3 linked regions of the Arabidopsis thaliana genome follow. The protein of the gene in region 1 binds, or shares a complex with, the protein of each later gene. Each region holds a gene or a part of one and is shown in the gene's direction. Other genes may lie near its edges. The genes, in order: TOC120, TOC33 and TOC34.

Region 1 (8,597 bases):
TACTCTTGCTAACAGATTCCAGTTTTTAGAGGATAATAGATTAATAGTTTCTTCATGCTTTCATGGCCCTAATGATGTTTTGCTTATTCAGGTAGTGGTAAGACATTTACAATGAAACCATTACCTATACGAGCAGTTGAAGATCTTATGAGGTTGTTGCGTCAACCAGTATACAGCAATCAGAGGTTTAAATTGTGGCTCAGCTATTTTGAGATATATGGTGGAAAGCTGTTCGATCTTCTCAGTGAGAGAAAGTTAGTGTTCTTTCTTTTTCTCATTTCTTATAAATGTCGTCTTTGTTGAGGGGTTTTATGTTTTCCTTTTCTTTTGGCATATACTTTGTTCAGGCATATACTAGCTTATAATTGTTATTTCGATGTCAGTATATCGTAAACATTGGCACTTATTCATCCTATCAGTGTCAATACTTTCCATTGTTGTCTACTACTATCGCAAATGCATGTTTACCATTGTCTAAATCATTCAGTTATTGCCGAGTAGGAAACTTTGCATGCGAGAAGATGGTAGACAGCAAGTTTGCATTGTTGGCCTGCAAGAATATGAAGTTTCAGATGTACAAATTGTAAAGGATTTTATCGAGAAAGGAAATGCCGAAAGGAGCACAGGTTCAACTGGAGCAAATGAGGAATCTTCTAGATCGCATGCCATCCTACAGCTTGTTGTAAAAAAGCATGTTGAGGTAAAAGACACTAGACGGAGGAATAATGATAGTAATGAATTGCCTGGGAAAGTTGTGGGAAAGATTTCTTTCATTGACCTTGCTGGCAGTGAAAGAGGTGCAGACACCACAGACAATGATCGCCAGACAAGGTAAAGATTCTCTTTGCCCCTGTGATTGAGTAGTTTGAGAATTGACCTACCACTAATGTGTAGATTAAAATTTATGCCTCTGTTGGACTTGTGGGCATTGATAAAGTGGCACTTTGCTGCTACCTTTTTACTTTAGGACCACCACACTTCAGATCTAAATGCTTCATTGTTTTCATTGTGGATTTTTCTTAGGATTGAAGGCGCAGAAATCAACAAGAGTCTCTTGGCTCTTAAGGAATGTATACGTGCACTGGACAATGACCAGCTACATATACCATTTCGTGGAAGCAAACTAACGGAAGTGCTCCGTGACTCATTTGTTGGAAACTCAAGAACGGTGATGATTTCCTGCATCTCTCCAAATGCAGGATCGTGTGAACATACCCTCAATACTCTAAGATATGCTGATCGGTATGTTTTGTACAAACTATAGCCTCTTGTGAAACAAATTCTCAATTTCATCGTCTATTAACCTCTGTTGGTTATGTATGGAATAAACAGAGTCAAAAGTCTATCTAAAAGTGGAAATAGCAAGAAAGATCAAACTGCGAATTCAATGCCTCCGGTTAATAAGGATCCTTTGTTGGGCCCAAATGATGTAGAAGATGTCTTTGAGCCTCCACAGGAAGTGAATGTACCAGAAACCAGGAGGAGGGTGGTCGAGAAGGACAGCAACAGCAGTACGTCGGGTATTGACTTCAGACAGCCTACAAATTATCGAGAGGAAAGTGGAATCCCATCATTCTCAATGGACAAGGGAAGATCAGAGCCGAACAGTTCTTTTGCTGGCTCCACTAGTCAGAGAAACAACATTTCTTCATATCCCCAAGAAACTTCAGACCGTGAAGAGAAAGTAAAGAAAGTGTCACCACCTCGTGGGAAAGGGTTGCGGGAAGAAAAACCAGACAGACCACAAAATTGGTCTAAAAGAGATGTCAGTTCGTCGGATATCCCTACCTTGACAAATTTTAGACAGAACGCAAGTGAAACTGCTTCAAGGCAATATGAAACCGCTTCAAGGCAATATGAAACCGACCCTTCGCTTGATGAAAACCTCGATGCACTGCTTGAGGTAAAGTACTCACCTATCCCTTTAAAACATGAGATGAAGCTGTGAATTTGATTTGCAAGTAACGGTAGTTCTGTTTATGTCTTATCGTAACCATCACATGACTTTTTTCAGGAAGAAGAAGCTCTGATTGCAGCGCACAGAAAAGAAATTGAGGATACAATGGAGATTGTTCGCGAGGTATGTAAATCACATCATTGCAGCGCACAAAAAACGATTGTAGAATGTTATCACATCATTCAATTTTCTTTTCTGTTATATCATTATCAGGAAATGAAACTTCTAGCGGAGGTGGACCAACCGGGAAGCATGATAGAAAACTATGTGACGCAACTGAGCTTTGTGTTGTCCCGGAAAGCAGCAGGGCTAGTCAGTCTTCAAGCCAGGCTTGCTCGGTTCCAACACCGTCTCAAGGAACAAGAAATACTGAGCCGTAAGAGAGTTCCTCGGTAGTTGGTAGAAGAAGGAAAACCAAAAGTGTGGTGTTGTTTAAGTGTGAAAGGTTGGTTGGGTGATCTCTTCTTATATATGACAAAGAATGACAGAAATGTCCTTCATGTTTGTGAATTTGGGCATTTCTTTCCTTTTATTTTTGAATCTTTATTATAAAGTTATACCTTTTGTGTTTCTTATTTTTCTCTTCTCCTCTATCCTCCCAGAAAGCTGGATACTGTCAATGTGAATCAAACTCTTTTATCAATCAACTGAAAAAGTATAAAACCATTTATCATCTGAAAATGTTTCAAAATTTGGTGAGCCATATATAAAATCAAATTTCTAACAATTAATAAGATCTTCAAATACCATCTATATAGTGACAACCAATGAAAAGACAGTTGAATAGCTCCAAAAGAACAAATAAAGCAATTCTCTCTTGTCGTAAAGATAAAATGGCCAACAAGATTATGCAGCCCAACTAAAAAGGCCTTGGCCCACACTTTACTATTGATCACGTGACATGCCTTTTTCACGATTGCAATATAAGAGCCATTTTCCACCGTCCGATGTTAAAACCCAAACCGATTTAAACCGTCCATGAAAGTCGCTTATCTCCTTCTCCTTCCCGTCGTAGTCGCACTGTCGCAGGCGAGTAAAAGGCGATTTATACAAATACAAAAAAAGCGCATGAAGTTGTTTTTTTTTCTTTCCAGACTTTTGCCTTCTCTAACCAGGTTAGATTCTCGCCATCACTTTTTCTCCTCAATATCAATAGATTCTTCTTTGTATTTTCTGAATTCCTATGAGCAAAATATACCTACGATTTGGAAAATATTAGTTTCACTCCCATTTAATTTAGTGTCTTGTGGATTTAAAAGTAACGAGGATACAAAATTTGGTTGGTGCAGTGTTTCGTGATTTTGGGTGATCCTAGAAATGGGAGATGGGGCTGAGATTGTAACCAGGTTATATGGGGATGAGAAGAAGCTTGCAGAGGATGGTAGAATTAGTGAGTTGGTGGGATCTGATGAAGTGAAGGATAATGAAGAAGAGGTCTTTGAGGAAGCAATTGGTTCGCAGGAGGGTCTAAAACCTGAATCTCTCAAAACCGATGTGTTGCAAGAGGATTTTCCTTTAGCTTCCAATGATGAAGTGTGTGATTTGGAAGAAACAAGTAGAAATGAGAGAGGAGTAGAAAATTTAAAGGTTAATTATTCGGAGATTGGAGAGAGCCATGGTGAGGTTAACGAGCAATGTATAACTACGAAAGAGGCTGATTCTGATTTGGTGACTCTCAAAATGAATGATTATGATCACGGGGAAGTAGCAGATGCAGATATTTCTTATGGTAAAATGGCATCAAGCTTGGATGTGGTTGAGAACAGTGAGAAAGCTACTTCCAATTTAGCTACTGAGGATGTGAATTTGGAAAACGGAAATACACATTCTTCTTCAGAAAATGGAGTAGTCTCTCCTGATGAGAATAAAGAACTGGTGGCGGAAGTTATCTCAGTAAGTGCCTGTTCCGTGGAAACAGGGAGTAATGGTATTGACGACGAAAAATGGGAGGAAGAAATTGATGTATCAGCTGGCATGGTAACAGAACAAAGAAATGGTAAGACTGGTGCTGAGTTCAATAGTGTTAAAATTGTTTCAGGTGACAAATCCTTGAATGATAGTATTGAAGTAGCAGCTGGGACCTTATCTCCATTGGAAAAATCTAGTTCGGAGGAGAAGGGAGAGACTGAAAGTCAAAACAGTAATGGAGGACATGATATTCAATCTAATAAGGAAATTGTAAAGCAGCAAGATAGCAGTGTAAATATAGGTCCAGAGATTAAGGAAAGCCAACATATGGAAAGAGAATCTGAGGTATTAAGTTCTGTTTCACCAACAGAGTCTAGAAGTGATACTGCAGCATTACCACCTGCTCGCCCAGCAGGTCTTGGTCGTGCTGCTCCACTTTTGGAACCTGCACCACGCGTTACACAACAGCCTCGTGTCAATGGAAATGTGTCTCACAATCAGCCTCAGCAAGCTGAAGACTCTACCACTGCAGAGACAGATGAGCATGATGAGACCCGTGAGAAGCTCCAGTTTATCAGGGTCAAATTTTTGAGGCTTTCACATAGATTAGGGCAAACTCCACATAATGTTGTTGTTGCTCAGGTTTTGTACAGGCTTGGATTGGCTGAACAGTTGAGGGGCAGAAACGGAAGCCGTGTTGGTGCCTTTAGTTTTGATCGTGCCAGTGCCATGGCAGAACAGCTTGAGGCAGCTGCACAAGATCCCCTTGATTTTTCTTGTACGATTATGGTGCTTGGTAAAAGTGGGGTTGGTAAAAGTGCAACCATCAATTCTATTTTTGATGAACTGAAAATTAGTACTGATGCATTCCAGGTGGGGACAAAGAAGGTTCAGGATATTGAGGGTTTTGTTCAGGGAATTAAGGTACGGGTAATTGACACTCCCGGTCTCTTACCATCCTGGTCAGATCAACACAAGAATGAGAAGATCCTGAAGTCTGTTAGGGCATTCATCAAGAAAAGTCCGCCTGACATTGTGTTATATCTTGATAGGTTGGATATGCAAAGCAGAGATTCTGGTGACATGCCTCTCTTACGCACCATCACTGATGTTTTTGGACCATCAATATGGTTTAATGCCATTGTGGGTTTGACTCATGCCGCTTCGGCTCCACCAGATGGCCCAAATGGTACTGCTTCTAGCTATGACATGTTTGTGACACAACGTTCTCATGTCATCCAGCAGGCCATTCGCCAAGCAGCGGGAGATATGAGGCTCATGAACCCTGTTTCTTTAGTTGAGAACCACTCTGCTTGCAGGACAAATCGGGCAGGCCAGAGAGTATTACCTAATGGCCAAGTGTGGAAGCCTCATTTGTTATTACTCTCATTTGCATCCAAGATTCTTGCCGAAGCAAATGCTCTTCTGAAATTACAAGATAATATTCCAGGGGGACAATTTGCAACTCGGTCCAAGGCTCCGCCACTACCATTGCTCCTCTCATCGCTTCTGCAATCAAGACCACAAGCTAAGCTTCCTGAGCAACAGTACGATGATGAAGACGATGAAGATGATTTAGACGAATCATCAGATTCTGAGGAAGAATCAGAGTATGATGAGCTTCCTCCCTTTAAGCGGTTGACTAAAGCAGAGATGACTAAGCTTAGCAAATCTCAGAAGAAGGAATATCTCGATGAGATGGAGTATCGGGAGAAACTATTTATGAAGAGACAGATGAAAGAGGAAAGAAAGAGACGTAAGTTGTTGAAGAAATTTGCTGCTGAGATTAAAGATATGCCTAACGGGTATAGTGAAAATGTGGAAGAGGAGAGAAGTGAACCTGCATCTGTTCCAGTTCCAATGCCAGATTTATCTCTACCTGCATCTTTTGACTCTGACAATCCTACTCATCGGTACCGGTACCTTGATACCTCCAATCAATGGCTTGTTAGGCCAGTGCTGGAAACTCATGGGTGGGATCATGATATTGGTTATGAAGGTGTGAATGCGGAACGACTATTTGTTGTTAAAGACAAAATACCAGTATCTTTCTCTGGCCAAGTGACAAAGGACAAGAAGGATGCACATGTGCAGCTAGAATTGGCCAGCTCGGTTAAACATGGAGAAGGTAGATCAACTTCCCTAGGTTTTGACATGCAAAATGCTGGGAAGGAATTAGCGTACACTATTCGAAGTGAAACAAGATTTAACAAGTTTAGGAAAAACAAAGCAGCAGCTGGTCTCTCTGTTACGCTCTTAGGTGATTCAGTTTCCGCGGGACTAAAAGTCGAAGATAAGTTGATTGCTAATAAACGGTTCAGGATGGTTATGTCAGGTGGAGCAATGACTAGTCGTGGAGATGTTGCTTATGGTGGTACTTTAGAAGCTCAGTTTCGAGATAAAGATTATCCGCTTGGTCGGTTTTTATCAACTCTTGGACTCTCTGTGATGGATTGGCATGGCGATCTTGCTATCGGAGGGAATATACAGTCTCAAGTACCCATTGGACGTTCCTCTAATCTCATTGCTCGTGCTAATCTGAATAACAGAGGAGCAGGGCAAGTAAGCATCCGCGTAAACAGCTCTGAGCAGCTTCAACTTGCTGTGGTTGCACTTGTTCCTCTGTTCAAGAAGCTTCTTACTTATTATTCCCCTGAGCAAATGCAATATGGACACTGATGAGTAACATTTAACTGTTTTGATTTTTTCTTGAAACATGTTTTTCTTTTTTTAGTTGTCGGAATTCACTTTTGTTTTAAGTCTTTGATGTTTGGTTGTAACATATGTCTGAAACTTAAAATCCATTATCCCAATGTTTCTAAGTCTTCTTGAAACCTGTATTCGCTCAAGGAATCTGGTCTTAGGTCAGGTCATTCATCAGCATCTTCTTAAACGCTCTCTTACGTTAAGTTCCTCTACAGTGCTCGTCAATTTAACACGTCTTTACGCATCATGCAATGAAGTGGAACTTGCACGCCATGTGTTCGATGAAATTCCTCATCCAAGGATCAATCCTATTGCTTGGGATTTGATGATCAGAGCCTATGCTTCGAATGATTTCGCGGAAAAAGCTTTGGATTTGTACTACAAGATGCTGAATTCTGGTGTTAGACCCACGAAATATACGTACCCGTTTGTTTTGAAAGCATGTGCTGGTCTTCGAGCAATTGACGATGGTAAGCTGATACATAGTCATGTGAATTGTAGCGACTTTGCAACTGATATGTATGTATGTACTGCTCTGGTTGATTTCTATGCTAAGTGTGGGGAACTTGAGATGGCTATAAAGGTGTTCGACGAAATGCCTAAGAGAGATATGGTTGCTTGGAATGCTATGATTTCTGGGTTTTCTTTACATTGCTGTTTAACTGATGTCATTGGATTGTTTTTGGATATGCGTAGAATCGATGGTCTGAGTCCTAATCTATCCACCATCGTTGGGATGTTTCCTGCACTAGGAAGGGCTGGTGCATTGAGGGAAGGGAAAGCTGTTCATGGGTATTGCACAAGAATGGGTTTTAGCAATGATTTAGTTGTTAAGACTGGGATCTTGGATGTATATGCCAAGAGCAAGTGCATTATCTATGCGAGAAGAGTTTTCGATTTAGACTTTAAGAAGAATGAGGTAACCTGGAGTGCTATGATTGGAGGCTACGTAGAAAACGAAATGATAAAGGAAGCTGGAGAAGTGTTTTTTCAGATGTTGGTTAATGATAATGTGGCAATGGTGACGCCAGTTGCCATTGGGCTTATTCTGATGGGTTGTGCAAGGTTTGGAGATCTAAGTGGAGGGCGATGTGTACATTGTTACGCGGTTAAAGCAGGCTTCATCTTAGACTTAACTGTTCAAAACACCATAATTTCATTTTATGCTAAGTATGGAAGCTTATGTGATGCTTTTAGGCAGTTTAGTGAGATTGGCTTGAAAGATGTTATTTCATATAATTCTCTCATCACTGGGTGTGTAGTGAACTGTCGCCCAGAAGAGAGTTTTCGTCTATTTCATGAGATGAGAACATCTGGAATTCGTCCTGATATTACAACATTGCTTGGTGTCTTAACCGCTTGCTCTCACTTGGCTGCTTTGGGACACGGTTCTAGTTGCCACGGGTATTGTGTTGTTCATGGCTATGCAGTTAACACAAGCATTTGTAATGCACTGATGGATATGTACACAAAGTGTGGAAAACTTGATGTAGCCAAGAGAGTTTTCGACACAATGCATAAGCGGGATATAGTTTCGTGGAACACAATGCTGTTCGGATTCGGAATTCATGGTCTTGGCAAAGAAGCTCTTTCTCTGTTCAACAGTATGCAGGAAACAGGTGTGAACCCAGACGAGGTGACTCTTCTTGCTATTTTGTCTGCTTGTAGCCATTCAGGACTAGTGGATGAAGGGAAACAACTGTTCAACTCCATGTCTCGAGGAGATTTCAACGTCATCCCAAGAATAGACCATTACAATTGCATGACTGATCTTCTAGCCCGTGCCGGATACTTGGATGAAGCTTATGATTTTGTAAACAAGATGCCATTTGAGCCCGATATTCGCGTGTTGGGTACACTTCTCTCTGCTTGTTGGACGTACAAGAATGCGGAACTTGGGAATGAAGTGTCGAAAAAGATGCAGAGTCTTGGTGAAACAACAGAAAGCTTAGTTCTTCTATCCAACACCTACTCAGCTGCTGAGAGATGGGAAGATGCAGCTAGAATTAGAATGATACAGAAGAAA
Region 2 (6,791 bases), on another chromosome or scaffold:
ATTGAAAGCAGCTTTCCAACCAGCGTTTGGATTCTCATTGACTTCCTTTACAATCTCATTCTGCAAAAGTTGATCATCAACGTTTAGGCAATCTAAAAGAGACGAAAACAATACAGATAATTGTGTGGATTAAGATCAAAACCTGAAGAATCAGTGAGGTCAGTTTCTGCTTGGAAAGATTTTCCGCTGCAATACCCTGAGATTAAGAGATAAACCAGCTTCAAAAGTTTAAAACTTTACTGATATAGAAACAATTACAAAAAACCATATATACATTTCCCCTTCATATGTCTTAGATTGATACGCAGAGAAAAAAATCACAAAGTTTGATTTATTTTGTTTTTTTTTAACTTGTAGCTCAAGAGTCCAACAAATCGATCTTAGTAAGCAATTTTAACACACAGATTACGAAAGTTTAAAGTACCTGCAAGTTGAAGGATGAAAATAAGAGCAAGAAAACAGAGGCTAATAAGTGAAGTCTGATACAACAACTATCAGCCATGATGAATCTCCCTTGTACAAATTTCTCGTTCCCACAAAGAATTCCAGAATCAACACAATGATTGGCTCAGACTTTGGAAACGGTACAAATTTTCTTTTCTAATAAGACAGAGAGAGAAAGTGAAAGGCTTATCTTTTAGACAAACTGAAAATGACACATGATTTTACTAAAAGGATCCTGACCGTTGATTGATCCTACTTACCAAAATATCAAGTAATGATGTCTAACTTGATCATTAATCATCATTTCTTGATATTTACTTGATATCATGGGCCTATAATTCTTTAATGGTGATTTCTTTTATTATAGGCCCATTCTATCAAGTAAATAATAATATCAGGATATTATACTTACCTGCAAGGTGATTCTTTTATTAAAGTTTACATGGGCCTATACGTTTCCAGGCCCAAACTATTTGTGAAGTAATGTCTAACTTGATTATAAATCACAATTTAAAAATGATTATTAATTAAAGTAATCAAGGCATTAGTTACTTTAGGCGGCTTTAATTAAAGAAATCAAAATACAAGTGTAACAGTAATTAGTCTCTCTAGTCTCTACTCTACTGTCGCATCGATCGAAAAGCCATAGAAATCTCTAGAAAGGAAGCAGAGAATCTTTGAAGGCGATGAAGTTCGTATCTGTAGCCAAAGGGATATGGTTTCTTCGACCCTAATCTGCTAATTTCACCTGTCTTTAGAGCCGGTAAGCTCCTCGTCTTTTACGCTTTCCGATCGATTTCTCTGAATATCTCGAGATTCTTTTTTTTTATTAGTTCCGGTAGGTTTTTGAAACTCATTGGAGCTGATTTGTGCTGAGATTTGTATGATACTTGTTTTTTATTCAAATTGTCTGCACATTTTTGTTGTCAAATCCAAGGGTTTTCGCTCTCTAGTTATTTGCCTTGTTGGAGCTTTTGATTTTGGTTATTGATTGAGTTCGCGATCGATTACGTTTAAGCTTTGTAGCTGATCCGATCTGGGAGATTTTCTGGTGTTGTGTATCTTCTTCTTTTTGAGTGCTTCATTGATCTCACAATGTATATTTCGTGTTTTATATAGCCTTTAGTGTTGTTGTTGCTGAAATCAGTGAGTAAAATGCTATTTATGTTCGTTTGATTTCTGATTAGTAACATACTCAGCTTCTCGCTGTCCATTGTATTGTAGTAGAATTCTTGTAATGTGAATTGCTGATGATGAGTCTTTAACATTTTCTATCTAGGTATCTCCTGCTTGTGTTCCTTTCTACTGAGTTTGTGGTTGGAGATTTGAAGTACTTGTGTTTTAAGGGTAGTAAGTGGTTAACTACAGATGAATAAGAATCAAACAGTTGGGCTAGACTCTGAAGATGATGACTCTGATGATTACGACATTGCGCAAGTAAACTGTGAGCTAGCTTTGGTTGAAGGTCAGCTCTGTAACATACCATACGAGCTCTACGATCTACCAGATTTAACGGGAATATTGTCTGTTGAGACTTGGAACTCACTTCTGACTGAAGAAGAAAGATTCTTCCTCTCATGTTTTCTGCCAGATATGGATCCACAGACTTTCAGTTTGACGATGCAGGAACTTCTTGATGGTGCCAATTTATATTTTGGGAATCCAGAGGATAAGTTTTACAAGAATTTGCTAGGTGGATTGTTTACTCCAAAGGTAGCTTGTTTCAAAGAAGGTGTTATGTTTGTCAAGAGGAGAAAGTATTACTACTCTTTAAAGTTCTATCATGAAAAGCTGATCAGGACATTTACCGAAATGCAAAGGGTGTGGGTTCAGTATGGAAATAAATTGGGCAATTACTCAAGGCTCCTCATTTGGTCAGGACGAACTCAAACCGGTAATCTCAAGCTACTGGACCTCAATAGAGTTCCATCTAAGGAAATGGATAGTGCTACATGTAGATTCAAAACTCCCAATGTAGTGAAACCCGTGGAAAGAAATAGATCGAAAAGTTTAACCTTCCCTCGCAGTGGCAGCTCCAAGAACAGTCTCAAGATAAAGATAACCAAGGAAGGAGTATTCCGGTATCAAGGTTCCAGCTTAGTTTCTGCTGGCCATCATCATCAGACTTTGCCAAAGGGTGTTCTCAAATTAGTCCCTAAATCTTCTTCTGCCATCCTCAGGAAACCCTATGTAGCTCCAGGAAACAATCTCCTGCAAATCCATGAAACCGGTTCAAAGAGTACTAGATTTGCAGCGTCTCCATACTTAGGTACGACATTTGAGAAACCACCCTACGGAACTCTTGGCTGTTCTATCCCAGACCCTTTCTTAACCTATTTGGAAACTACACAAAGATCAATCCAAGGTACAGAACCGGTGTTTCATGATCCAACACACACTGTTCCCAGTGCTCTCCGTGTTTCAAATTACTCCATCACAGAACAGAATATACCTCTAAAGCAAGAAGAATATGTCCGGTACCACCTGAAGTCTCCTGGTTTTAAGCCTAGGACTGTTGACAGAGGCTCTGAAACAACAGAGAGCAAGAGGATTTCGTCTAGTAATAACTTTCAGAGGGAAGCCAAGGCTCTGAGAAAACCGCTGGGGGTCCTGAGCGAAGACAATCATGCTCGAGAAGCCAATAGTGACCATTTGTTTTCCTTGACTTACAAGCGAAGAAAGGTTCAGAGAATCGCTTGAGCTCCCGTGACGCTATGCTAATTCAATGTTCCACCTAATGTAGTCTTCCATGAAAATATGAAGTGTAATGCTGCAACTTGGTAACTGGATTTGGTTTGGGGTTGAGTTTGTTAGTTTTCAAAATTTGAAGGCACTAAAAAGAAACACTAAAGAAATAGAGGAGTAAAAGTGAAAATAATTTGAACTATTAAACAAATTACCGATAAGGTCACATTCTTTAGCTTTTCTCTGCGGAACACATCGAGAGAGCTTCTTCCAAAAACCTCAAACGCTCCTCACACAACGGTAAGCTCCTCCAAATCTCCCAAAACGTTATCGCTTTCGAAATTAATTATCATCATCGTCATCACTCAGCGATTATTTACCAAAAGAATTTTTTTGCTGAAGGGTTTAGGAGTGATGGGGTCTCTCGTTCGTGAATGGGTTGGGTTTCAGCAATTTCCAGCAGCTACCCAGGAAAAGCTGATTGAATTCTTCGGAAAATTGAAGCAAAAGGTGTGTTTTGTTGTTGTTGTTCCTGTTTCTTTGGTGCTTAAGTCGGTTTCTCGGATTCTCCGTTGTGATTAGGAGATAATGATGGGAGGTTTTTGTAATTGCAGGATATGAACTCAATGACAGTTCTTGTTCTGGGTAAAGGCGGTGTCGGAAAATCATCCACTGTCAATTCTCTTATCGGCGAACAAGTCGTCCGTGTCAGTCCTTTCCAAGTACGTAATTCAGTTTCCCTAAGCTTGATTTTTTTAATTTGGATTAAGAAAGAGTAGTCATTTCAAGATATTTGATGGCTCTGTTTTGTTGATTTTGTAGGCTGAAGGATTGAGACCAGTGATGGTTTCAAGAACAATGGGAGGGTTCACTATCAACATTATTGACACCCCTGGACTTGTGGAAGCTGGATATGTCAATCACCAAGCTCTCGAGTTAATCAAAGGGTCAGTAGCTACTCTTTTGGAATATCTCTTCGTTGATTGTTGCATATAGGATTATCTCATTCGTTTTTGAATTAATTAAGCTAAGTATATATGTGGTTAACATGTTTACTTGTGGGTTTCTGTTGAAATTGTGAATTATGAGTATCTGGTTTACGCTGAAGCTGTATATTGGAGTGTGTGTGGAAGTTTTACGATAGTTGTTGTGTTTCTCGGATTTTGGACAGGTTTCTTGTGAACAGAACAATAGATGTCTTGCTCTATGTTGATCGTTTGGATGTGTATAGAGTCGATGAGCTAGATAAGCAAGTTGTTATAGCAATCACCCAAACCTTTGGAAAAGAGATATGGTGCAAAACCTTGCTTGTTCTGACTCATGCTCAATTTTCCCCTCCCGATGAACTTTCCTACGAAACTTTTTCCTCCAAGAGATCAGATTCTCTCCTCAAAACTATCCGGGCTGGTTCTAAGATGCGAAAACAAGAGTTTGAGGTATGGTTATTTATACATATACCTGTCTCCGAAAATTGTTATACCAATGTATGTTTGGTTCATTGTAGCAAGAATCAGTTTCATTCTTTACTGGCTTGTAGGATTCTGCAATCGCGGTAGTCTATGCAGAGAACAGCGGAAGATGCAGCAAGAACGATAAGGACGAAAAGGTTTGTGTTTTCGAATCTCTGATTTGATCCGACTTGGAGAGAGACTGACTGTTAAAAGTTGCTTACCTGCTCTCGGTTCAGGCTCTTCCAAATGGTGAAGCGTGGATCCCGAACTTGGTTAAGGCGATAACTGATGTAGCAACAAACCAGAGGAAAGCAATTCATGTAGACAAGAAGATGGTAGATGGATCTTACTCTGATGATAAAGGAAAGAAACTCATCCCTCTTATCATAGGCGCTCAGGTAAGAAAGAGACACAGTTTGATTTATTGTCTTGTTCGAATTTGGTAAACAAGTGAAATCCTTTCTTCTACTTTGCAGTATTTGATCGTTAAGATGATTCAAGGAGCAATCAGAAATGATATCAAGACAAGTGGAAAGCCACTTTAAGAGGCTCTGAAGAAGAGGTTTTGTTGTGAGCAAATTACAAGGAGAAGAAGAGTTTTTCGATTGTTCTTTCTTTTGTTAGATTTTATCTGCAACATTTTCTTGTTTCCGGCTTTATCTTTGTCTGTAATTTATGGAGATTTGTTCAAAGAAAAGATTGCCATGCTTTCTGGTTAAATGAAATGGATGTTTCCCAATCATAATATCACCAAAAAAAGAATATATTATGTTCTGTAGATAAGAAAAACAAATGATCTGCTAAAGTCTGTTTTGAATCAAACAAGTCTTTTAGCTGATGGGATTAATTGTTTGCATCCTCGGGTGATTACATAAACACAGATCAACAGAAAACTCGGCATAACCAAGGCCGCTTCTATCTCCCACAGGAAGACTAGCATTGGTAGCCTGATGTCAATGTCTGTTAGATCATCAATCACTGCTGCTTCTGTTCCATTATAAACAGTTTATTGAGAATTGGTTCGGAATCATCATCATATCCATCTCTTATTTCCTAATACTAATAGACATGAGTGTTTGTTTGTAACAGAGGTTTAAGAAATAGATCGTCCCGGTCCCACATAATCTAACAAACTTACCGTTTAGATTAGATAATCACCATCAGATCTCACAGTTGCAATATGATGAAAATAGACGGTCCAGATTTCTCGAACGTTCTCAAATAAGAAAAAGGAAACAACTGTTGAAGATAAAAGGAAAGTAGGAAACAATCGAAATTTGGATATGGTAATAGTCATTTTGACATGTGCAATCTTTTTAATATGTTGTAGTACCTGAAAGAAGCTGGATGGGCTCAAGGAGACCGAGTTTTTGCTTGTACCAGCCAAGACCTTTAGCTGTCCCGATTTGTTTTTGGATCATATCACAAGCTGCTGCATGAGGTATTGCTTTCTTCATTTACTTTTTTTTTTAGTAATTGATTGAAAGATTTTTTCAACCATGTTTTGTTTTTTTTGTAAGTACTAAATTTTTAATTTTTGTGACATAACATCCAAACAGAACGTGCCAAAAAAATTTGATACCATACGCGAAAATATGATTTAATATTTTAATAAATATTATAAACATAACAAAAAAAATAATTAATATTTAAAGTTTAATAATAAATTAAGCAAATTTTAAGCAAAACATAAATAATTTAGAACAAAAATATGACCAAAAACGATTAGGTTGATTATAATGTGTAAACTAGTAAAATGTGCTAGTGTCGTTATTATGTTATCAATCAAACGGTATAATGCATGTTGTTAACAAAACAAAACATAGTTTTATTGACTTCTCAAAAATGACCTTTGAAATAATTACGACAAAGAATATTTTTATTTTTTTACTAACCTTTCTATTATCGAACTCTTTCGTTGTAAAAATGTCTCTTGTCGCCGGTAGTGTCAAGAAGACGGACCTTTGAAATACTTCTCAAAAAAGACCTTTGAAATATTCAAAGGTATAGCAGGTGGCGAGATAGCCTGGCTTGTGAGAGAGGAGCTTTCCGTCTTCTTTGTTATGTGTATATTTTAATAAATAATTTTTTTGTTATGTTTACATTATTTATTAAAATATTAAACTATATTTTTTTGTTTATAGCATCAAAATTCATTGGCACGACTCTGATGACGAGACACCAAATATCCATATAATGGTGTTGCAGTTG
Region 3 (7,009 bases), on another chromosome or scaffold:
ACTTTCATCTCAGAACAAATAAACAGATAACCAGAGTGAAAAAAGCCAAATTCCATTTCAAACCTCCACTCCCCATCGCATTGTCTAACGCTTGGTGCCTCTCTCAGAGCAGGAAGTGGTACGGAGATGATGACATTAGTCAGATCAAACATGGACGAGGCTTCGTACTCGAGGCTGACATATGTCTCGTTTCCAGAGACTGAAGGCCAGCAGTTTACTGCATCAGACAAAAGATTTACATCAATGGGACAAACATTTACATGTAAACCTGTCAAAAAACAGACACGATAACCTCCACAGCCTTACTTGTTAGTGGCACCATAGACTCGTCTGCTCTTTGCATTCTCCACCTGAGAAGACCAACACCATCTCCACCTTGACCAGTGGGAAATGGCTGATCAGGTCTCTTCAGCCCTAGAATATTCTCATTATTGAACATATCTCGGTTGATGTTGGGATGGGTCTTGAAAAGAATTTCGGGATTTTCACCGGTTGCAATCTGAAGACAAAGTAAAACATAGATGTATTCATACAAAGATAAAATACAGAAAGTGATGAATTCAAGAAAACTGTAAAATGCATAGGAAGCTCTTGGAAATAGTTAAGAAAGAACGTTGGAGTACCTGGACTTGGACAAATCCATCTTCTTGGTTAAGAATTTGAAGTGACAGGGTTCCCTGCATATCAAAGCTACTAAGTCCACCATCTCGTCTCAATGCAACATTGAGCTTCTCTTCAACAGTTAATGTGAAAGGATCAGTTGGAGGTGGGGCAGCTGCTTTGGATTGGCCAGTAGGCTTAACATCTTCAATGACGTCTTCACCTTCTGCTTTAAGGGACTCCATTAACTGGTTCTTTCCCGACTTGCCAAGTTTCATGCCAGAACTCTTAGGAGGAGCAGTAACAGAAGACCGTGATCGATCTGTGAAGTTAAGCACGGTGGATAAGAATTTCAAAACAAAGAGATTATCTAATCGAAATCAAGTATATATATATAGAGGCGCTTAAGAAACCCGAGATGGAAGGGCATTTTGATTTGAATACTTGGGATTGAACGGTCATTTGTGAATGATCCACTAGTTAAAGCACACTAACCTTTTGGTTTGGTATTGATAGGGTCGACATCTGAAATCATGCCAAACCCAGAACCACTTCCATAACCACCGCCGCCACCACTGGATATGCTCAATTCATTGAAACCACTTTCAAGTCTTCCAGATCCCATTGAACCCATGGACGAAAATCCTCCTGGCTTATTCTTTTCAATCTAGGAATTACATAAGAAATATTAATAGGAGTTACAGAAATAGAATACAACAGCAGGGTGCGCTCCTGTCATGTACCTTGCTTTTGTCAATCTCATTAGCCTTACGCTTCATCACGTCCTTAGTGTCATTGATCTTGCTCTGCATAACCAGTTTATGCAACTTCTCCTCATGACTTTCCATTTCACAATACTGCTTCACCTGGGCAACTGTCACACTTTCCTTGTGCCCAAGAGATATGACTTCATCAAATGCAAATATGAGCTCAAAAGATGCCCTGGAAATCCCTTCTTCATCTAAAGACATGGAATACTCAGGTACCTAGAAACAATCAAATGATCAAACAGCACTTGGAACACTCACTTTTCAAAAGAACTAAGAACCAGTACACATCCAGAGTCAAGGCAATAATCTCCTCAAATAAAGTAGCAGAAGTAAAAAAAAAAGAAAGAAAGAAAGAAAGAAGCATACAAGTTTGGAGAGCAAAGTAAGGGTGGCCAGGTCTTCTAGAATGTTACTCTGCTTAGTTGTAACAAGAAGCAGGAACAGAGCTTCAATAGGCTGATAAACATATCGCACATTCTCCGTCTCGATATAGGTATGCTGCTTTCCCATTCCAACCAGCTTAGGAAAAGCTGCAAGTAGACCTTCGATTCTGATACGGGACATATCCACATAGTGTCTGGAAACAATCACTACATAAAAAAGAAGAAAGTTAGAAAAAACGCAAAAATATTGAAAAACGAGAATTCGAAGACAAAGTCAAAGATAGATGAAAATAACCTTTCCCAGACTTGACCACAATGGCAGCAGCAAGCACAACCTATAAAGCACAGGTTCCAACTTTAGAAAACGCGCCAGACACTCATCAAACACTAAAGTTAACACCAAATTGCGAAGATGCACTAAAAAGGAAAAAGAAAAAAACCAATCATAGAACAAAAGTCAATACCATTTTGATTATTCAGGCTCGAACAATCTCGGCGATTATAAGAAAGGTAATGCGAATCTGAAATACAAAGAACCAATGTTAGAGTAAATCCAGTTAGAGCGAGATCAGAAGAAACAAACGGGATTTGATCTTCAGGATCATAAATCACGTAATAGAGGAAGAGATCTCGAATACACGAATCCAAACGAAACTAGACTAGCGAATCGAAAATATAAAAAGAATTCATCGCAGATCCAGCGGATCTACGAGCATCAGAGGCTCATAATCGAAAAACATAACTGTAGAATCAAAATCAACACAAGCGGATCAAATTCATGAAACAGGATCGCGAAATTTAGAAGGAGGAGAAAATTCTTAATAATGGAGATCCACAGAAATGTAGCCAGAGAGAACATTCATTCAAAGGAAAACGAAAATCATCACCATCAGTGAAGGCGAAGAGCGAGAGAACAAGACGATACCTTGGGAGTGATCGAAGGAGATGAAATCACCAGTTTCTTCTTCACAAGCTCGCCGAGTAAAAAAGATGAAACGAGTCTCAGATTAAATCCTGGTGTGTGTGTTAGAGAAAAGACGATCCACAAAACAAGGACAAGTAATCTGGGCCGTTTCAGTTCCTTATTGGGCTTTCCAACCCAGTAAATGGAAGAAAAAATGCCAAAAGGGCAAATTCGTCATTGGTGCAGACCGACGACATTCGGTTTAGTCCGGTTGAATTTTGAAAGGAATGTACTTTCATGTATTGAGATTTGTAGCAATCAATCATCTTCAAAAGTCAATTTCAGTTCTAGGGTTTTAATTTGATACGAGGTCAGCGAATCCGGCGACGAATATCCGCCACTAGTAACTCTAGCTCAGGTAGGTTACTCTCTCTCTCGTTTTCTTTCTTTATCTGGTTTTCACTTCGTCCACTTAGAAGTATGCTCATTTGATAAATTGGCATTTGACCCCAGTTCAGGATTTAGGATTCTGATTATCTCTCAATACTTGATTAGTTTAGTGCTTAAGTTATTAGTTTTTGGTATGCCCACTTGCGCCATGTTCGTTTCTAAAGCAATGAGATTATTTTCATTTAAAGATCTGGAAAAAAGAAACTAATGGAGACAACGGCAAATGAAGATGGATTTTAAGGGTTTTTGTTCTTAGTAAAAAAAAGTTATCTTCTTTTTAATTTTCTGAGACTTTAATTGCTAGAAAGTTATAGGATTGATTCAGATAGTGGAATCAGACAACTTTTTCTTTTATGGGCGATTACTCATTTTTGTTCTTTGGTCTTCTGATTGTTTAGTTTCTTAGCAGATGATTTAGTCTTCTCTTTTGTGATCCTTTTTTGCTTTCCTTGGAAGTGTAGGTAAGGATTTGTGTCCATGGCAGCTTTGCAAACGCTTCGTGAATGGATCGGTATCCAGCAGTTCCCACCTGCTACTCAATCTAAATTGCTCGAGATCCTTGGGAAGTATAAAGAAGAGGTTCCTTTCTTGTTTCTAGCTTCATCTGCTTTCTGTTTGTTTCTTCTTGTCTTAGAGAGATTTAAGAAAGAAAAAAAACTGGTGTAGGATGTGAGCTCGCTAACGGTCCTTGTAATGGGGAAAGGTGGTGTTGGAAAGTCATCAACTGTGAATTCAGTTATAGGCGAGAAAGCTGCTGCAGTTAGTACTTTCCAGGTGCCAAGTTTAATGCTCTTCTCATGGCTTGTCTTTATGACTATTGGCTATCTTTCTTTTAATTTTTCTCATAGAAAGTGTGTGATTTTCCCTCTTTATAGTCTGAAGGACTGAGGCCTACCTTGGTCTCTCGCACAAGATCGGGATTTACATTGAATATCATCGACACTCCTGGTCTTATTGAGGGAGGATATGTGAATGATCAAGCCATCAACATTATAAAACGGTATGATGAACTGTTTCCAGGTCTAAGGAGTTACTCTCCTAATTTGGGGCTCATTTGTGGCATTTGTATTAATTTGGATTCGTGGATGTTGAATTTGAACAGATTTCTCCTCAACATGACTATAGATGTGCTACTATACGTAGACCGTTTGGATGTGTACCGGGTGGATGACCTTGATAGGCAAGTTGTCGGTGCTATAACTGATGCATTTGGTAAAGAGATATGGAAGAAGTCTGCTCTTGTTCTCACCCATGCTCAGTTCTCTCCACCAGACGGGTTAAATTATAACCACTTTGTCTCCAAAAGATCTAATGCTCTTCTAAAAGTTATCCAGACAGGCGCTCAACTGAAGAAACAGGATTTGCAGGTATAGTTTTTTCCTCCTTACATAAATGTCTGTAACGACCTTGATAGTAGTCAAGTTAATAGACTCACTTACCTCTGATCTTTTATTGTAGGGTTTTTCTATTCCTGTCATTCTTGTTGAGAACAGCGGAAGATGCCATAAGAACGAAAGCGATGAAAAGGTCAGTTGATTGGTTTTGTCCACGTTCTCTTTTTCTCGCGTCTTGTAGTAGTTGGACCAATCTTGAAGTCGGATTTTCCAAATTTGTGACAGATTCTTCCATGCGGGACTAGTTGGATTCCCAATCTGTTCAACAAAATCACAGAGATCTCTTTTAATGGCAACAAGGCGATTCATGTTGACAAGAAACTGGTCGAAGGGCCAAACCCAAACGAAAGAGGAAAAAAACTGATTCCTTTAATGTTTGCATTCCAAGTAAGCCCCTCTGAACCATTCAGTAACAATACAGAATAAGGCTTGATCAAAACATCATGCATCATTTATTCATCTTTTGATGGTTTGAAAATGCAGTACTTGCTGGTGATGAAGCCATTGGTTCGAGCAATCAAGTCCGATGTTTCGAGAGAGAGTAAACCGGCGTGGGAGCTGCGAGACTCCGGTTTAGCAAGTCGAAGGTCTTGAGTTGTGGACACGAGTTTTGTTTGGTTTGTTTGTCTATCTGAGAGATTGTTCTGTAGTTGAAATTGTGATACAACTCGAGAAATGTGGTTCACAGATAATTACTGTCGCAAAGTTCTCTCATCTTAATTACATCTTCTTTAGCCTCTCGTAAATCGTAATTAAGAGCTACTCTCTTGGTGAAAATGATTAGAAGAGATAATTCCATTTTGTCATTAATGGTAAAAGTAACCGCTGCAGTTATTTTTGACGCGATGCAAGTTTTGAAATAAAATAAAAATTTGAGTTAAAGAAAAAAAAAACCGATGTTTAAAGGAGGAATTTGGCAAACGGAGAAGACGGTTCAGAGAAGATCGTTTACTCTTTCCTCAATTTCGAACAAAGTTTTCGAATTTTCCAACTCTCTCTAGTGAATTTAGGGTTCTGATTTCGACATTAGTGTAAAGATTTGTTTTTTATCCGAGGGGTGCGATTGTGTAGTCAAACCAGATCAAATGTCGGCATCAACGGTGTCGATCACCGCTAATACGGCGGCAGCGACTAGACGGACGCCGATTCTTGCCGGAGAGAAAAAATCAAACTTTGATTACCCTCAAAGCGAATCGCTTGCGAACGGTGGTGTTGGGGAAGCCGGTGGTACGAGTAGAGATCTGAGCCGCGGTGAAGCTACCCTTGATCGATCTCAGGGACAAGATTTGGGTCCTGTGACGAGAAGGTCTGTTTCCGCTGCGACGGGGACTAATACCACCGCTACGCAGCGCCGGACGCGGAAGGTTGCGACTCCTAAGTCTGAGAAAGCGCGGTGGAAGACAGTGGTGAGGATATTTGCGAAGCAGCTTGGTGCGCTTTTGATCATTGTTGGGTTAATTCAATTGACGAGGAAGATGATTCTCAAGGCTTCTTCTCCGTCCTCTCCGATTTCTTCTTATGAAACGGAGATGGCGTTTTCGGGATTGGAAAGCCGAATTGCGGAAGTAGATGGTCTTGTTAAGGCTACGACGAATTCGATGCAGGTTCAAGTTGAATTGCTTGATAAGAAAATGGAGAGGGAAGCAAAAGTGCTTAGGCAAGAAATCGAGAGGAAAGCTTCTGCATTTCAGAGTGAGTTGAAGAAGATAGAATCTAGAACTGAGTCACTAGAGAAGTCTGTAGATGAAGTAAATGCTAAACCTTGGGTGACGAAAGATGAGTTAGAGAGGATTTATGAGGAACTGAAGAAGGGGAATGTTGATGATTCTGCTTTTAGTGAGATTAGCATTGATGAATTGAGGGCTTATGCTCGTGATATTATGGAGAAAGAGATTGAAAAGCATGCTGCTGATGGCCTTGGCCGAGTTGATTATGCATTGGCTTCTGGTGGTGCTTTTGTGATGGAGCATTCAGATCCTTATCTTGTTGGTAAAGGGAGTAGCTGGTTTGCGACTACCATGCGGCGCGCTCATACGAATGCGGTTAAGATGTTATCTCCGAGCTTCGGTGAGCCTGGACAATGTTTTCCTCTGAAAGGTAGCGAGGGCTATGTGCAAATCAGGCTGAGAGGACCAATCATACCAGAGGCTTTCACATTGGAGCATGTAGCTAAGGTAATGATACTCTTGTACTGCAAACTATTTGTGTTGGTATCAGTTTTCTTTCTTGTGTGCTCTTATTACTACCTTTGGTGTTTGCATTTACAATGGTTTGATATTGAGATGCCTGGAAAAAATGACGCCATTTTCTTTGTGACTGTTGATGGCATGAAATTGTTTGAATGAGGCTTGAGATTAGTTTAGATCGGTTGCTGCAAAAGATCTGAACTGAAGAGGATTATGGTTACTTAATAAGTTTCGTCATCATCCAGTAGGTCTCGTCATAGTTCTCCAATTCTGTGTGTGCCATATGCCATTGACCTTTAGGAGTTTGTTTAAGATCTGTTTT

What was found.
Region 2: TOC120 (region 1) and TOC33 share a complex: the UniProt entries of both Arabidopsis thaliana proteins name them as parts of the TOC core complex.
Region 3: TOC120 (region 1) and TOC34 share a complex: the UniProt entries of both Arabidopsis thaliana proteins name them as parts of the TOC core complex.

The regions. Positions count from the first base shown.
Region 1 is NC_003074.8:5,656,416-5,665,012, reverse strand, and holds TOC120 (translocon outer complex protein 120), read left to right. Parts: upstream 1-2,946; 5' UTR 2,947-3,072; intron 3,073-3,246; 5' UTR 3,247-3,274; coding exon 3,275-6,544; 3' UTR 6,545-6,677; downstream 6,678-8,597. Other genes in the region: KINESIN-13A (P-loop containing nucleoside triphosphate hydrolases superfamily protein), read left to right, coding at 92-254, 502-831, 1,024-1,242, 1,333-1,903, 2,015-2,080, 2,171-2,353; AT3G16610 (pentatricopeptide (PPR) repeat-containing protein), read left to right, coding at 6,678-8,597. UniProt on the Arabidopsis thaliana protein: GTPase involved in protein precursor import into chloroplasts. Seems to recognize chloroplast-destined precursor proteins and regulate their presentation to the translocation channel through GTP hydrolysis.
Region 2 is NC_003070.9:446,999-453,789, reverse strand, and holds TOC33 (translocon at the outer envelope membrane of chloroplasts 33), read left to right. Parts: upstream 1-3,363; 5' UTR 3,364-3,429; intron 3,430-3,531; 5' UTR 3,532-3,543; coding exon 3,544-3,639; intron 3,640-3,743; coding exon 3,744-3,851; intron 3,852-3,951; coding exon 3,952-4,076; intron 4,077-4,300; coding exon 4,301-4,565; intron 4,566-4,666; coding exon 4,667-4,735; intron 4,736-4,816; coding exon 4,817-4,978; intron 4,979-5,056; coding exon 5,057-5,125; 3' UTR 5,126-5,367; downstream 5,368-6,791. Other genes in the region: AT1G02300 (Cysteine proteinases superfamily protein), read right to left, coding at 1-60, 143-196, 425-502; AT1G02290 (uncharacterized protein), read left to right, coding at 1,813-3,144. UniProt on the Arabidopsis thaliana protein: GTPase involved in protein precursor import into chloroplasts. Seems to recognize chloroplast-destined precursor proteins and regulate their presentation to the translocation channel through GTP hydrolysis. Binds GTP, GDP, XTP, but not ATP.
Region 3 is NC_003076.8:1,472,348-1,479,356, reverse strand, and holds TOC34 (translocon at the outer envelope membrane of chloroplasts 34), read left to right. Parts: upstream 1-2,922; 5' UTR 2,923-3,075; exon of another isoform or gene 3,076-3,568; 5' UTR 3,569-3,584; coding exon 3,585-3,686; intron 3,687-3,773; coding exon 3,774-3,881; intron 3,882-3,982; coding exon 3,983-4,107; intron 4,108-4,209; coding exon 4,210-4,474; intron 4,475-4,565; coding exon 4,566-4,634; intron 4,635-4,726; coding exon 4,727-4,888; intron 4,889-4,984; coding exon 4,985-5,095; 3' UTR 5,096-5,330; downstream 5,331-7,009. Other genes in the region: AT5G05010 (clathrin adaptor complexes medium subunit family protein), read right to left, coding at 64-217, 307-499, 624-922, 1,096-1,267, 1,344-1,586, 1,737-1,960, 2,049-2,088, 2,218-2,220; SUN1 (SAD1/UNC-84 domain protein 1), read left to right, coding at 5,587-6,675. UniProt on the Arabidopsis thaliana protein: GTPase involved in protein precursor import into chloroplasts. Seems to recognize chloroplast-destined precursor proteins and regulate their presentation to the translocation channel through GTP hydrolysis.